Struthio camelus: one gene and its partner. The protein of the gene in region 1 purifies or fractionates together with the protein of each later gene. This does not show direct contact. Links are inferred from orthologs where the notes say so. Each region holds a gene or a part of one and is shown in the gene's direction. Other genes may lie near its edges.

What was found. The genes of interacting proteins can lie anywhere in the genome.
Region 2: the proteins of DHX8 (region 1) and NKAP purify together in Homo sapiens (co-immunoprecipitation; 3 studies listed by BioGRID and IntAct, with this or other methods). This does not show direct contact. The link is inferred for Struthio camelus from reciprocal best matches to the Homo sapiens genes DHX8 and NKAP.

What each region holds. Positions count from the first base shown.
Region 1 is NC_090966.1:8,061,655-8,069,182, forward strand, and holds the start of DHX8 (ATP-dependent RNA helicase DHX8), read left to right. Parts: upstream 1-2,862; 5' UTR 2,863-2,895; coding exon 2,896-3,007; intron 3,008-3,334; coding exon 3,335-3,420; intron 3,421-3,630; exon of another isoform or gene 3,631-3,715; coding exon of another isoform or gene 3,716-3,721; intron 3,722-4,045; coding exon 4,046-4,118; intron 4,119-4,537; coding exon 4,538-4,623; intron 4,624-5,196; exon of another isoform or gene 5,197-5,257; coding exon 5,258-5,367; intron 5,368-5,475; coding exon 5,476-5,787; intron 5,788-6,076; coding exon 6,077-6,221; intron 6,222-6,799; coding exon 6,800-7,003; intron 7,004-7,528.
Region 2 is NC_090952.1:11,961,485-11,969,012, forward strand, and holds the start of NKAP (NF-kappa-B-activating protein), read left to right. Parts: upstream 1-3,491; coding exon 3,492-3,832; intron 3,833-3,962; coding exon 3,963-4,043; intron 4,044-4,445; coding exon 4,446-4,519; intron 4,520-4,741; coding exon 4,742-4,861; intron 4,862-5,334; coding exon 5,335-5,380; intron 5,381-5,786; coding exon 5,787-5,902; intron 5,903-6,050; coding exon 6,051-6,126; intron 6,127-6,635; coding exon 6,636-6,785; intron 6,786-7,419; coding exon 7,420-7,528. Other genes in the region: ZBTB33 (transcriptional regulator Kaiso), read right to left, coding at 3,179-3,206. UniProt on the Homo sapiens protein: Acts as a transcriptional repressor. Plays a role as a transcriptional corepressor of the Notch-mediated signaling required for T-cell development. Also involved in the TNF and IL-1 induced NF-kappa-B activation.

The sequences.
Region 1 (7,528 bases):
GATTGCCTCTATCCCTTGCCCTAGACTAGCAGGTTCTGCTTTGCACCTGACGGTTCAGCGCCCAGCTAAACCAGTGCTAGTGAGCAAAAAAATCTCAGATTGGTGCTTGCTCAACATGTACAACTAAGAAGCACTGCAGAGGAGCTGTGCTAGGTACTGTTAACGTTTGAGATTCAAACTGTTTATTAGGAAATGTAATTTTTTTTTTCTAATGGTAATAACTTGCCACACAAGACATGACTAATTTTTCTGCCCCACCCTTGAGACCCATGCTGCTCAAATCCAGAGAGTTCCTTTACCTTCTCCTTTTCAGCAGCCTGATCTTTGCCTGTAATTCACTGTCTATGTTGACTCATAGCTTGGATTCTCACAGCTGCCTGTGCCAAGCTGAGCTCTGTTGAGCTGCTGCAAAGGTCTGTCTTTGGAACTGGAGTTCAAGGAGATCTGAAGTGTGGGTTTGGTGAGATGCACTAGCTGATAGTGCTGCCTTTGTGCCTGACTTCTATTTTTAATTGATGGCAAATTGCTAGAAACTGGGATACACGTTTTTGCTGTTTCGATTCAAAATCAATACAAACAATCAGCATTTTATTATTTCTCCTCCTGTTTCTAAGAGAACTTTTGTATTAAAATTCACTGTTTTATACCCTTATTACCTAACAAGACTCTTGTGACCCTGCTATTCCCATGTGTGAACTGGGAAACTTTCCTCCCTCTCTGGTGGAGGACTGTAGAAATCCATCAGCTGTCCATTCATATGGACAGAGGCTTGCAGAGTGCTGTGTGCTAGGAGATGCATAGCATTGTGGAAGTGACTAAGCCAGGGATTAGAGCTTTCAAGTAGCTCCTTTCCCCCTTAACCACAAGGCTGGGACTATGGGGAAGGAGCTGGAGAGGCAGCTGAAGAGATGGATGCAATCAAAGCTCATACAGCCCCAGGACTGTCACCTCTGCAGTGCTCCATGCACTCTGTTCTAAGTGGCAGGCTTTTGAAAACACTGATGGATCTCAGCCTGGCTGCTCCACAGTGCTCCGTGTCCGTTGCTGTCTAGCAGTCTCTCTTGGGCCCCCATTGTCTCTGTGCTCAGTCAACAGCAGGCACTTCCTTTTCAGCTTGTCACATAGGCTGACAGCATGAAGTCTTTGGTTCTTTTCTGTTTGCCAAAGCTTAATTACTAATAAATACCTGCCACGTGGTGGGCTTGTCACCCACATTCATCTGGAGTCCCTTACTTAATTGCTGTAATTTGCTGATGAATGCAGTTTGCAGTAGGGCTTTGAGTCTGCTATCGTTGTCTCATGTAGAACATTTCCTAGAGTATGGAAATTCACTCTCTATTTAGATTTTCCCAATAATCTTCTGCAAGTGCTGAGGAGGTACGCTAAGTGAATATGTGAGGTGAAATGTGTCTAGCACAGTAATTTAAAACTCAGCACATGATTTATTGTCTATAAACTGCTAGATTAATTAAGGTGGTAGTACTCAGCTCACATAAATTCCACTCTAATTCTGGCCTTTGAAAGAATAACATGCTATTGTTTCACCTAGCGTTCTAGAGGCTGGACATATTTTCCACTGTTAATGGGCCTAAGTTGCTAGCATGTACACACAATTTGGCTAGACTTATTTATGTTTGTGCACGCAGCATTTTTCACTTGCAGTCTGTGCACTGTTCTGCAGACCTGGAGACAAGGCTCAGACTTCCATCCTCACAAGGGACTGAGAGCCTGGGAGCAAGATTTAGAAGCTGATACTGTTAGTTGACAGGATTTCAAAGTTTCAGTACATAAATCAATTTTGTCTGCTGAATTACAAACTTGGTTTTGAATATAGAATATATTATGACATGTTAGTATGTTACAACCCTCTTATTTTGGGGTAATTTAATTAGTACATACCAGGAAGGAGGTTACTCTTCCAGAAATCCGGGTCAGAGGGGTCTGATGTGTCAGCCGGGCCAGAAGGACCAAGTTCACTCCAGAGCACAGGCAGCCCACTGATTACATCTGCAGCAGCCCAGCAGAGCAGAAAGTTAAAAATTTGGTGAAATGAGTCCAAATGAATCTAATACACAATGAATCTAAGTATATAAGTAAAAAAAAATATTGTGATAGCCAGGAATCCAGACTTAACTCACTGCTGAGACATTGCTCCAACGGTGCTGAGAAGACACTGTTGCTGGCATCAGAGCGTTTTGCTTCGTTCAATTTATGCTTATAATTCAAGAAATAGATATGCATATGAGGGTACTTAGCAGCTGGCTAATAATGATCTCATCCAGGCAGAACGTGTCTGTCTCGTCAAGAAAGCCCACCTTGGGGGCTGCGACGCGCCCCCACACACGGTGGGGAGTGGTGGATGGGTTACTTCGTTTGCTTGGCAAGATGCTGAGTATTTTACGAGCTGCCTCACTTTTGTTGCTAACCCTGCCTCCCGCGCTCCCCGTCTGTCCCTGCCACAGGACAATTTAATCACTGTACTGAGGCCGTCGCAACCGAGCGACATCAGAGCCGGTTCTGCTGCCACCTGTTTCAGGGCCGACGCGGAGGGGGGGGGGCTGGTCCTCCTCTCTGCTGCTCCACTCTCACGTCCATCCTCCCCCCCTTGTTGAGGCACGCGCTATTCCAGGGTTAACGCTCAGCAGACAACCGGACTGAGCCGACGGCCCCGCCGCCCCCGCGCCCCGCCGCCCGCTGCGGCCTCCCGCGAGGCACCGCGGCGCCTTCTCCCGCCTTCGCCCCCGTTGGCTCCCTCGCCCGCCACAACCACCAAGCCGGTGTTACAGACTCTCCCCCAGGAGGGCCGCTCTAGCACGGCGCACCTCTCTATGCTCGGCGCAGAGCTTCCGCCGCGTCCCGGATGCGGAAGTGGCGCCGTGAGGGGGCGGGGGAGTCATGGCGGACCCGGTGGCCCTGGAGGAGCTCGCCAAGCTCGAGTACTTGTCGCTGGTCTCCAAGGTGTGCACCGAGCTGGACAACCACCTCGGCATCAACGACAAGGACCTGGGTGAGCGGCCGGTGCCAGCCGGCAGCGGGGCGGCCCCGGGGGCGCGGAGAAGGGCCTGTCCCGGCGCGGCCGGCGGCCGGGGCCTGTTCTGCGAGCGGCTTCTCGGGTTGAGGAAAAAAGGGGACCTTCCCTCAGAAAGCTTGTCGCGAGCGCGAGAAAGTGCTTGGAGCTGGGCTCCCACGAAGGGGCTCGGAAAGGAAAGCGCTGCTGTGGGTGGATAGGTCTAGCAGAGCCCTGGGCTGCCGCCAGAACAGCTCTTACCAGAACGTGCGCCTACGCTGCCTTTGAATTATTTGCTCTGATTTCCTTTATACTTTTTCTTCACAGCCGAGTTTGTGATAAATCTTGCTGAGAAAAACACTACGTTTGACACATTTAAAGCTGTTCTTCTAAAGAATGGTGCTGAGTTCACTGTAAGTGAGAGCTAGACATTATTTGTACATTTTTGACCTGGCATATTTTATAGAGCCTTTTTTGTTTTAAAAGAGAGGTGTGGGTTTTTTTTTTTTTTGATTTTTTTTTTAAACTGGAAAACTATGCAAATATATAGCTTTTGAGTATACCTATCTGATCAAGCCTTCTCCTACCCCTCCTCCTCCTCCTCTTTCTGAACACTCATAGTCTTTGTGAAGCATCCTTCTGAGGCCTTACTTGAAGTGTTTATTGTCTGATTGCTGAGCATGTGAAATACAGAAGAAACACCTTGTCATGAAGGCAAGTGTTAGCAGAAGTCTTTCTATGATATTTAGATGCCATCTTCCTGTGTTCCTCAGCAATTACTGTAGTTGGATTAAGTAGGTGATTAGAAAAGTGATGAGTGGGAAAATCAGTTAAATGGAATTATCATAATCACTTTAAAATCCAAGTTATTATATTTGTTTTAGGCTGTACGTGAAGCTTTTTTTTTAAAAACAAAGCCTGCATTTTCAGCATTGAGCTTTTTTTGTCCTCCTAACAAACCCTCTCTTGAGCCCTATATTAATGAACAAAAGCATTGAAGTTGCTTATCAGAATAAAGTGTTTTCCTGAATTTTGCAGGATTCCCTTGTGAGTAATTTGCTACGTCTCATACAGACAATGCGGCCTCCATCAAAACCATCTACAAGCAAAGGTATAGATAATTTATCTCTCATCAGTTCAGTAGAAAAAAAAACTTGCCTTTTGTAGCTTTTGGCCATATTTGGTCAGATCAAAGTAGTTATTGTTCTAGTCCTGTAGGACAATACATATCCTATTGCTGTAATGGATTTCTCTCTGTTATTAGTGGTAGGCTTGCAAAGCTGTTGTGGCACTGAAAACATGTTGAGTACAGTATTTAGAGCATTTATGTTTTTCACAGGTTTGCTATTAATCATAATATCATTTATAGAAAGATAACATTGTAATTTTTGAATTTAATCTGTGACAGCTGTGTTAATCTTTGCATTCAGATGAAAATTAAACTTTATATTCAGCTTCACAAATGTCAAGGGCAAATCCTTATAGCACTTCTAAGGTTTTTGTGTGTGTCTGTTTTAATCTCAAAATCAGAGGCAGCTGTCAAACCCAAATCAGAGAAAGAAAAGTTGAAGGAATTGTTTCCAGCCCTTTGCAGGCCAGACAACCCCAACATCAGGGTAAGGTCATAATTTCAGATTTCTCTCATGAGTGTATGGAAACATAACACTTATTTTCTGCAGTTGTTCTCTAGTTTCAAGTTGTATTCATGTTAGCATTTGTATCTCCTGCTAATGCATGAATAAAAATGGACCATGAGAAATGAAACCCAGAAGAAGCAGAAGGCTGATATTATTGGATGTAGTTATCAGGAACTGCTGTTACAGGAATTGCCACATTGATGCTATTTTGCAGGATATTTGAAAGATGAGGCTCCTGTGATGTGAAATTTGTAGCCTGGCCTTTCTGACATAATGTTTAGAGCAACTAATCATGAACTAGATGAAAATCTTGGACATTAAAATGATACCAGGAATTTGTATTTTGTATTTCGGTAATAATTTGGATGTTGAGATAAAACTCTTCTTTTTGTAAAAGCGGAATTGGCACAATATTATGGCAAAATGGGAGGAAGCATTTTTTTTTTTTTTTTAATAATATCATTTCTTCTTTCTATATCATGTATTCTGTCTGATCTTTCTTTATCCTATATTAATTCTAAACAGAAATGCACATGATTATTCTTTGTGTAGGTTAATTCTTTGTGACAGACTCTTATCAGCCTTCCTACAGAATGGTTCTCTGTCCTTGCAGAATATGTTGGATGAAGATGATGTGAAAGTGGCAGCTGATGCACTTAAAGAACTTGAAGCTCTAATGCCTAGTGCCGACAGGCAAGGCAAGCAAAGGAACAGTGACCACCGGTAGGTTTTTAGTATGTCTTTAGGGGATGGGTACAGGCAGTTCATATTGTCTACCCACTGTGTTCTTATGCAGAATTTCGGTGTAGACGTCTAATGTTTGTTTGATAGGGCGAAAAAAAAGAGGAAGAGCCGAAGCCGCAGCAGGGACAGGAAGCGAAGACGCAGGTCTCGTTCTAGGTCTCGTTCTAGGACTTGGGACAAGAACAGGGGGAAATCCAGATACCGCTCAAGGAGCAGGAGTCAGAGTCCCAGCAGGGACCGTAAGGATCGAGAGAAATATGTCGAGAAGAGCAATGATAGATGGAGAGACAAACATGTGGACCGTCCACCACCTGAAGAGCCTTCCATTGGCGACATTTACAATGGCAAAGTGACAAGTATAATGCAGTTTGGATGCTTTGTGCAGCTGGAAGGACTAAGGTACCTTCTGATCTTCACCTTCATCTTATTCCATCTGTGTTCTGCTCTCTGCTAATATCTTAAAGAGTGTAGGATGCTACTATAAAGTAAGCTGAGTTTTGATGCTAAAATTAAGTTCTATTTCACAAAAATAAATTTGACAGTGGAGAATGCTTTCTTCAAAAAAAGCAGTTTATGAACATACACAAAAATTGGTTGACAGCAAAATATTTTAAACCAGACTCTGAAGGATGTTAGAAGCTGTTTGAATAATAATATCCAACATCTCATGCCCCTATTTCACCTGTAGGAAGCGCTGGGAGGGCTTGGTCCACATCTCTGAGCTTCGAAGAGAAGGACGGGTTGCCAACGTTGCTGATGTTGTGAGCAAAGGACAAAGAGTAAAAGTCAAAGTGTTATCTTTTACTGGATCCAAAACCAGCCTGAGCATGAAGGTATGGAAGATAGTCCATAGTCCTTAAAAGAGAGTTCATGTGGTGCCTAACCTTTTATAAAGATTACATCTATTTTTGCCTTGTGTAATACTGAAAACTAATACATAACCCTTCAAATGAGAGTTAAAACATTTAAGTTATATTTCTGTTTTTAAGTGGCTTATTACTTTTCACTCGTTTTCCTTAGTGGTTTGTTTGTTTGTTGAACCAAATGAAGTGGTTGATTTGACATGTTAGCCAGGTGATAAGACAGACCTTATGCTGTTTTTATGCTTGATTTCCTTTTTCTGAACTAGAGAATCATTTAATTTTAAATGAAACAGTGCCATTGCCAAGGCAGATTATATTCCAGACCTTGGGATGTACACTCACCTCTGGAGACTTTTTTTTTTTTTTTTTTTTTTAAAACAACTGGTATGCAAACTCTCATTTTCTGTATATGGGCTGTGTTTGACAGTAACCTGTCTGAGAAATGAACTGCGCTTTTACTCCTGTGTTAGAGGAAGTACCAGGCAGGGTTAATAGATAAGGAGAAGTGCAATATAGGTAGAGCTGACTGATTAATCAATCTAATGTAGGATGTTGATCAAGACACTGGGGAAGACTTGAACCCAAATCGGAGGAGAAATCTGATTGGAGAAACCAATGAAGAAACCTCTATGAGGAACCCAGACAGACCCAGTCACCTTTCCCTGGTGAATGCTCCAGAGGTGGAGGACGATACCCTTGAAAGGAAACGCCTCACCCGCATTTCAGACCCAGAGAAATGGGAAATAAAACAGGTATGTTTTGCATTGAGTCAAATGGGGTGCCAGTCAGTATAATTGCTAGTGAGTTTCATGAACTAAGCTACAGCTCCTAGTTTGTTTGTTTAACTTATTCCTTATCTCTGAATCACTGCTTTCTTGCTATCTGGGGCTTCTAGCTTTGTTCTAACTTTGAAGCTAGCCCTGCTTTGAGGAGGAGGTTGAACTAGATAACCTCTGGTCACTTCCAGCCTAAATTATTCTGTGATTCGGTGGGATCCTGGTCTTTATGCTGTGACACTTAAGATGATCTTTGATTATGAGTGCAGTCCTGTCATGCGTAAGCCAGCGCCAGCTGTTCCACACTTTTGATATTTAGGATACAAAAGGATTATTTGCTCAGAGAGTGAGTGGCTCGGGGAGATGTGTGCCAGAACGTGGGACTGTTCATTCCTTTCCTCCTAATTTACAAGTCTGGACAATATCTTTTAGTTCTAAAACCTTGTTGGCATGAGTGGTGTTCATTCATGGGAACAAATTCCTGTTCTTTCATTCCTTCCC
Region 2 (7,528 bases), on another chromosome or scaffold:
CAGAGCTGATTTCTGTTTATTTATAGGCTCTTTCTGAGGGCTGAGTGAGGGAGAGTAAATGATAGAAAAGGATGATCGGGGAAGATAGCCTTTTTTCCTTCTATAACCCTTTGACTGAATTTTCTCCTTTGATTTAGGTTTTTCCTAGTAATTTTTACATAGGAGGTTATCTTAAATCAAAATAACACTATAATTGTTTTAATTCTTTTATCCTGTTCTTTTTTCCTCCTCCAAAAATGTCCAATGGTCAAAATTAGACCATTTCTTTGCCTTTCACACTTCTGCTTTAAGGAATCTCCTTCTCCTCACAGCCAGTCTCATTCCTGAACACTAACAGGAAATTCTACAGATAAAGATGATTTGGAAAGAGTCCTACTCCTGAAGCATTATCAGCTCTCAAAAATCAGGTTCAGACTGCTTTACGTTAGGCACAAAATCGCTGGCCAAATTAAGGGATGCTGGCCTAGCTGTGAGAGCTGCACCACCTCCTCCTTGACTTTTACCTTTTTGCTGGAGCTTCTCACTGTGGCAGCTTTATATTTCAGATATAAAATCAAAACATCACTGTCATCTTGCTATGATCAGGACAGAGTTAACGCTCTGGCTAACTTGAAAAATTTTACTGAAAATGCCACTCATTATTCCTCCTGCACCTGACTGCAGAATTTCAGCGTGAACATTTTTTGTCTGGACTGTAGCTCTTGATTTTGTTTTTTCCGTCTTTTATTTTTACATAGGCCCCAGAAAGTGGGGATTTGGTTCATATGAAAACTCATACAGTGACTGATTAAATGAACCATTGGCTCTGAGACAGTGATAATAAAGCAGGCTTGAACATAGAACTAAACATGGTGTTCTTGGAAATTAAAAAGTAAATAAAAGATACAACAGGAACTTTTATTTTGATGCATAGAAGTGATTCAAGGAAACTCTGGGATGCGAGCTCTGAAAATATAAAGTAAAAATTTAAAGAAGCAGTGTGTAAGTTTTTGTGGGGAGAAGACAAAAAAAGTGACTCAGCAACAAGTTTACAGTTCAGCAATTTGAAGAGCTCTTTCCTTTTTTTTTTTTTTTAAAAAGACATTTTATGGGAACAGAAAATTCTTTTAAAGACTTTACAGATCTGAGAGAGGAAGAAATGTTCTCAGTCTTGACAAAATGTATTTTATTTTACAATAAAATACACCACTTTTTTTTTCCACTTAGGAAAGGGGCCCTCAGTAACAATCAAAATTCAACAGTTATCTTGCCTAAAACTACTAGGCACAGAAATATTATTCGATAGTGGAAAGCTTAAAACAGCACTGCTTCTGAAGGACTCTAAAATATTAATTTCCACCATTCATGCCTTGACATATTTTCAGACAGTGTTTTTCTTGTCAGTTCCATTACATAAAGCCTGATATAACTGAATTTAAATGCCAGTGAAGCTTTTTCTGACATTTGTAGTTGACATGGATGCTGTTACATGCTGTATATATATGAATTGTATAACTTGTGTATAAAAGTGCTTCAGAGCACTTCACAGAATTAACTAGTGAAGGCTCAGAAAGCTCCTGAAAGGCGGGCATTTTAGCCAGGGTTTGCCAGCACAGATGCTGGGGTGCAGAGGTGAGCGGCCGTACTGCCCGGGCTGCCTCGGCGCCTCCCGCGGCAGAGGGCCAGCCGTGCTGAGGCGGCAGCGGTGGGGGCCTTCGCAGCCCCCGGCCCGCCCGTGTCCCAGCCGGGCTGGGTCAGCACCTCGGTGGCAGCGCACAGCTGAGCTGCCTTGGGGCCAAATCTGTGGTCTGGGCACACTGCTGGGTGCAAGCGCGCTCGGGCTAGCGCGAGCCCAGCAGCGGGGGCACGGAGGAGCCTAGGGTGGCTGGTGCACTCCATGCCCCCAAAGCACTCCCGGGCTGCACTGACTCAGCGCGTGGACGGGTCCCTCCACCACACGTTTGGCCCATCAGCTTCCATCTGGCTCATCAGTTGGTGACATGACCTCATGTAACCAATGCCAGGAGCACATGGCGGCCTGGACTTCTTCCTAGGGACGCGAGACTTCACATACCACGGGGGCACACGCGCTCGGGCTGCCTGCGAGGCTAGCATGGGCACAAGGAGCTATGTCTGGGGAACACCCTGGGTCTCAGGTTCCTCCTCGGACCTCACACGGGAGGCGCAGGGAGACAGTCACCGAGCCTGAATTCATGCAGTACAGATTCAGCTGGCAGAAGCACAGCCACTGCAGACTTCCATCTGTCTCATTCAAATGACCCTACCACCGATCAAAACAACACCCTTTTAAGAGATAACCTTATCTAATTTAGTTAGAGATTAGCAACGAACTCCGGGCAAGCACTGCTCCCTGCTATTGTAAATGCAAACAAACCCCACCTTACAGAGATACCAAGCTGTCCTCAGACTGACACAGGATGCATGTGGATATGCAAACCTCTGGTGACATCTTCTCTGTCCCCGTTCTGCATGTGGCTGCATGCACTCAAGCTAATACACAATTTAAATAGACTTCCTGGTACTTGCAGATATTTTAATGCTGCCTATGGCAGCTTTGGGAACTGAAATATGGTTTCGTTTCTGAAAAAAAGACTGACATCCTCGTGCATCTTTCATGAACTACGTGGAAGAGCACAGGCTGGATGAGCAGCCTGAAACGCCCCTGGCGAGAGCCGAGCAACGTTATGCCGCCATTCCCTAGGCACAGCAGAAACTTGTTACCTCACTAGCGGGATTTTTTTTCTAAAGAAAGCACCACTGAAAGGTGTCCAAACATGGCACCCCGAGGGGAAAGGACGCTCCTTAGGTGGCTTAACACCTAAACACCCTTAACACATACAACGTACAATTTGTATAACTTTCCCCCCACATCACTGCCATTTCAGGTGCTCCTGCGTTGCCGCTACCACGGCCAAGGGCGGGCGGCAGCAGAGCCGCTTCCCAGGGCAGGGAGGGCACGTCGGGGCTGCCAGGGGCTGCGTGCCCGCCGCCGGGGCCGGGGCCGGGGCCGGGGCCGCGCCGTGAGCTGTCCGCCGGGCAGTGCTGCTGCCCGCCGCCCTGGACAGCTCCCGGCCCCGCCGGGCCGCCGCCCGGTGCCCGCCGAGCGCAGCAGCGCCGGCCAGACCCCCCCGCCGCCCCCTCGGGCGCACGGCCGCGGCCCCCCGCGCGGCGCCGTTACCTGGCACGGCCTCCGCCCGCTCCTCCATGCCGCCGGGGCGGCCCGGGGGGGCACCAGCCGGCCGCGCCGCCGGCAGCGCGCAGGGGCCGCCGCCGGGAACGCGGCGCCGCGGCGCCTTGTTGCCACCCGGGCGGGCTGGCGCGGGGCGCTGCGCCGCCGGCGCTGCCGCTTCCGCTGCGGCCGCACGGCCTCGGCCCGGCCAGGCGGCCCTGGCCCCGCCCCTCCGGCCCCGCCCCGGCCCGGCCCCGCCCCCGCGGGGAAGGGGCGGGCGGGGCGGCGGAAGCCGGAAGCGGCCGGAGCCGCGGGCGCCGCCATGGCGCCGGTGTCGCGCTCCCGCAGCCCGTCCCACTCGCCGGCCTCCCGGCGCCGCCGCAGCGGCAGCCGCGGCTCCTCGGCCAGCCCGTCGCTGCCGCGGGCGAGCCGGGCGCCGCGGGCCGCCAGCCCCGAGCGGCGCGGCCGCCGCTCCCGCGAGCGCGGCGGCGGCCTGAAGCGGTCGGGCCCGCGGCGGAGCCGCAGCTGGTCCCGGTCGCGGTCCCGCACCCCCGGCGGGGCGCGCGCCGCCGCGCACCACGGGCACGGGCACCACCACGGGCACGGCGGCGCGGCCTGGCCCGACTACTACGAGAAGGAGAAGGAGGAGCTCGCGCGGCAGAGGCGAGCGCTGGGGCCGGGCGGGGCCGCCGCGGCCCGGCCGCCCCCGGGGGGCCCGCGGGCGCCAGCCGGCTGCCGCGGCCGCCTCCGGCCGGAGCCCGCCCGGCCTCAGCGCGGCTGTTTTCCTTTGCAGGAGGCTGAACGAGAGGGAGAGGATCGGAGAGCTCGGGGCGCCCGAAGTCTGGGGGCTTTCCCCAAAGGTGCCTGACCCCGAGTAAGGAGCTGTCTTTGCTCTTCCCCTCCCGCCTCTGCGCTACTGATTGCCCGCTAAGTTACCTTACAGCCTCGTCCCTGCGCTTCTCCCTTCTCCGCGATTCGTGTCGCGTCAGAAGCTCCTTTCTGACTTGGCCTAGCCGGGTCGTGACTTTTCCCAAATAACTCCAACGTGTCCACTCTGTAAGACTTCGGTATGTTGTCGGTCAGGTGAACTCCCCCTTGTGCTGCCGTTCTCAAAGCAGTTCTCATGCTGCAGATTAGCTGTTTAATAGATTTGTTCACTGCCAATATTGGCTGAAAATGTGCCAGCATGTGTCTGGTCAGTTGTGTATATTTGATCTTGAATTGCTAAATATTGCAAAATAGATTTTTGAATAATAAACTTCTTATTTTTACTCAGTTCTGATGAACATACTCCTGTAGAAGATGAAGAGGCAAAATCTAAGAGCAGTTCTTCAGATTCCAGCTCAGAAGGTATTTTGCTCTGCTTGTACAACTTGTTTCAGAACTTGGAGGTCACCTAAGACTACAGCCTGCTGTTGTGGCTTGTAAGAGGTTAACTGACTTTGCGAGGATGAAGTGAGCGTGACGGGCTCCAGTTCAAATGAGAACGTTGCCACAGTAAGATCCTGAAATACATACGGAGCTAGGTCGTCTCCCTCTGTTCCCTAACATTGTCTTTTGAAAACATTCTAGAAGAGAAAAAGAAAAAGAAGAAGAAAAGAAAGAAGAAAAAGCAAAAGGCATCCAAAAGAAAACGGAGGAAACATTCTGAGGACAGCGACAGTGAGTCAGAGTCAGACTTGGACTCTAGTGGTAAGAAAAGGCAGTTTCTGTTAATCTGCGTGGTCTGAGAGCTGTCCTTGTGCTCCTCAGAACGCAAAGCAAGGCTTCCAGCTTCTGCTGCTCTGAAACTACAGAGCTGCCGCATCAGCCCTACGCGCTTTTCTTTCACTGTCTTGTTGGATTTGCAATGCCTTTTTCTTGATGAGCGCTTGCGGTTCTTACATCAGGAAATAGGATCTCTGAATTTAACATCTGTTAGGTGTCTCATGCCAGATGGCTCGTTGAGTATATCGAGCAATAATGCGGGTAGCTGTCTGCTGATATATTTTTTTTTTTTCCCCATGATATTTGGCACCGAAGCAAATCATGTTTGAGAACCTCTACTTAAAGCATTCTGGTGGAGGCAGTGTTATTTATTCACAGTGCAATAAATCAATTATTTTTCTAGTTCAGATCAGTCTGACCTGATCTCTTTTTAGTGATTTATACTTCTAATTTTTCAGATGAAGATAAAAAGAAAAGCAAAAGGAAGAAAAAGAAGCACAGAAAGTAAGTTTCTAAAATGTTATGTATAATTGTACCTGCTTTTCACTAGAGGGCAGCACCACCCTCTTCGCAGGCAATGAGGAGGACTGCACCCTCTTGTAATTAAGACTATAAATCCTATTGAACAATCTTAATGTGATGCATTGGCTTTAAATGTACAGAACCCTGGATCAAAGAGGATTCATGGGAAACCTGAAAGCTTCTAACACTATATGAAAAGCATAATAGTGGATTTATTGTTTTTGTTTTGCTATATTTCCTATCAAAGGACAGCAACCTATAGCTATATAATCAGCCCTTCCCTAGGTGGGAGTTGCCTTGAGAAACTAATCAGTTGAGCTTGATTCCTAGTGCTTGCATTCCTCTTAAATTTTGGTGAGCAGCATGTCTGTCTTTGACTTTATCACAGAAAGAAGTATAAGAAAAAGAAAAATAAAAAGAGCAGGAAGGAATCCAGTGATTCAAGTAGTGAAGATTCTGATGGTGAAACATTTCAAGGAGAAGATCTCTGGATTGAGAGATCAAGTAGGTTCATGTGACTTTAAAACTTGGATTAAAAGACCTCAATGTTGTTTTCATTAGTTTATTTGCTAGGTGTTGCTGACTTGTGTAACTAATCTGATAACAAAGAATAATGGGCACAATATTAATCTTCGCTATTTGCTTATTGCAGAAAATACGGAAGCTGATAGCCTCATTGGACCAGAAGCTCCCAAAACACATGCGTCTCAAGATGACAGACCTCTTAAGTGAGTAGCCAACTCTGGTATTACTTAGATCAAGTCAGGTAAATCAAACATGAAGACTTCTGTCCAAAGGGACTGTTATAATAACGTAACGTGTAACAGAGAGAGAGAGATGCTGTACCAGAAGCCTAAGGACAGAGGTGGGAGTGATGCTGGTCTTTACCCTGACCTGAACTGAGGTAGAAGAGTATGTTTTACACATTTTAGCCTTGATTTTTAGATAAATTAATTGCTCTTTTCTCCAGTGAGGTGTTCATGATGCACTTTATTCTAATGCTCTCCATATGGTAACTTTATGCAGCCTTCATACTGTTAAGAAGTTTGATCAAACCAGTAGTTTAAGCTGTTGTTGCTACGGGTTGCCAGAGAGAAGAAACAAGCCAGTTTGTGGGAAAGAGTTGGGAAGTGCTTAAAAGTGTGGCTGCAGCAAGTAACGAACAGGGAAGCTAGATGCTGTAGCTCAGGCTTTCTCTCTCTGTTTGAGACTGATTAAAATCCCTGCTTTTTTTAAGCTATGGACATGCCCTGCTGCCTGGTGAAGGCGCAGCAATGGCAGAGTATGTAAAAGCGGGAAAACGTATACCACGGAGAGGTGAAATCGGCTTGACCAGTGAAGAGATTGCATCGTTCGAGAGCTCTGGCTATGTAATGAGCGGTAGCAGGTATGGCTTTGATGATGGTAATGGTTCAGTGAAGTTTGCAAGAGCTGCTTCCTCTGTTGGCCAGTGGAAAAACTGATTCCAAACACTAGCTGAAAGCACAGGAAAAAAAGGTGCTCTGTGTGTCTGCAATAATCTGTGCTAAGCTCCCTGTTGCTACATATATACCGTGAGTTTGTTAAGGTATTTTCTCCTCAAGAGTAAAAAAATATTTCCAGCTAACCCACTTCTAATTATGTTGTACGTGCAGAGAAATGATGCTTGAGTCAGATGGCTCAAAGCCTGTGTCTTTGGTAACATGCTCGCTCTTCAGTAAGACAAATGAAAATGCCAGAGGTTGGCCATGCTTTTTCGATATCAGTACAGCTGGAGTTTCACGTACGTTTTGGAGAGCCAACAGTTGGTTCCCTGGGGGCAGGAGGGACTCCCTCCTTGCTGCCTGAGGGCAGACACCTCAGAAATCAGCTTCTAAGTGCCATGCTCCTTCCTCAGGAGGTTTGTGTGCAGTTTGGATTCTCTGGTCTAGCTGTCTTCCTTATTTATAAGCGGAACACATTCGGGTCAGCGGATGGATTGACGCAGAGGGAGCCTTGCATCCCTCTGCCTGTGCTGATGAACACAATGTTCTCCTCCACAGACATCGCCGAATGGAAGCTGTGCGTCTACGAAAAGAGAACCAGATTTACAGCGCAGATGAAAAGAGAGCTCTGGCATCCTTCAACCAGGAGGAGAGAAGGAAACGAGAG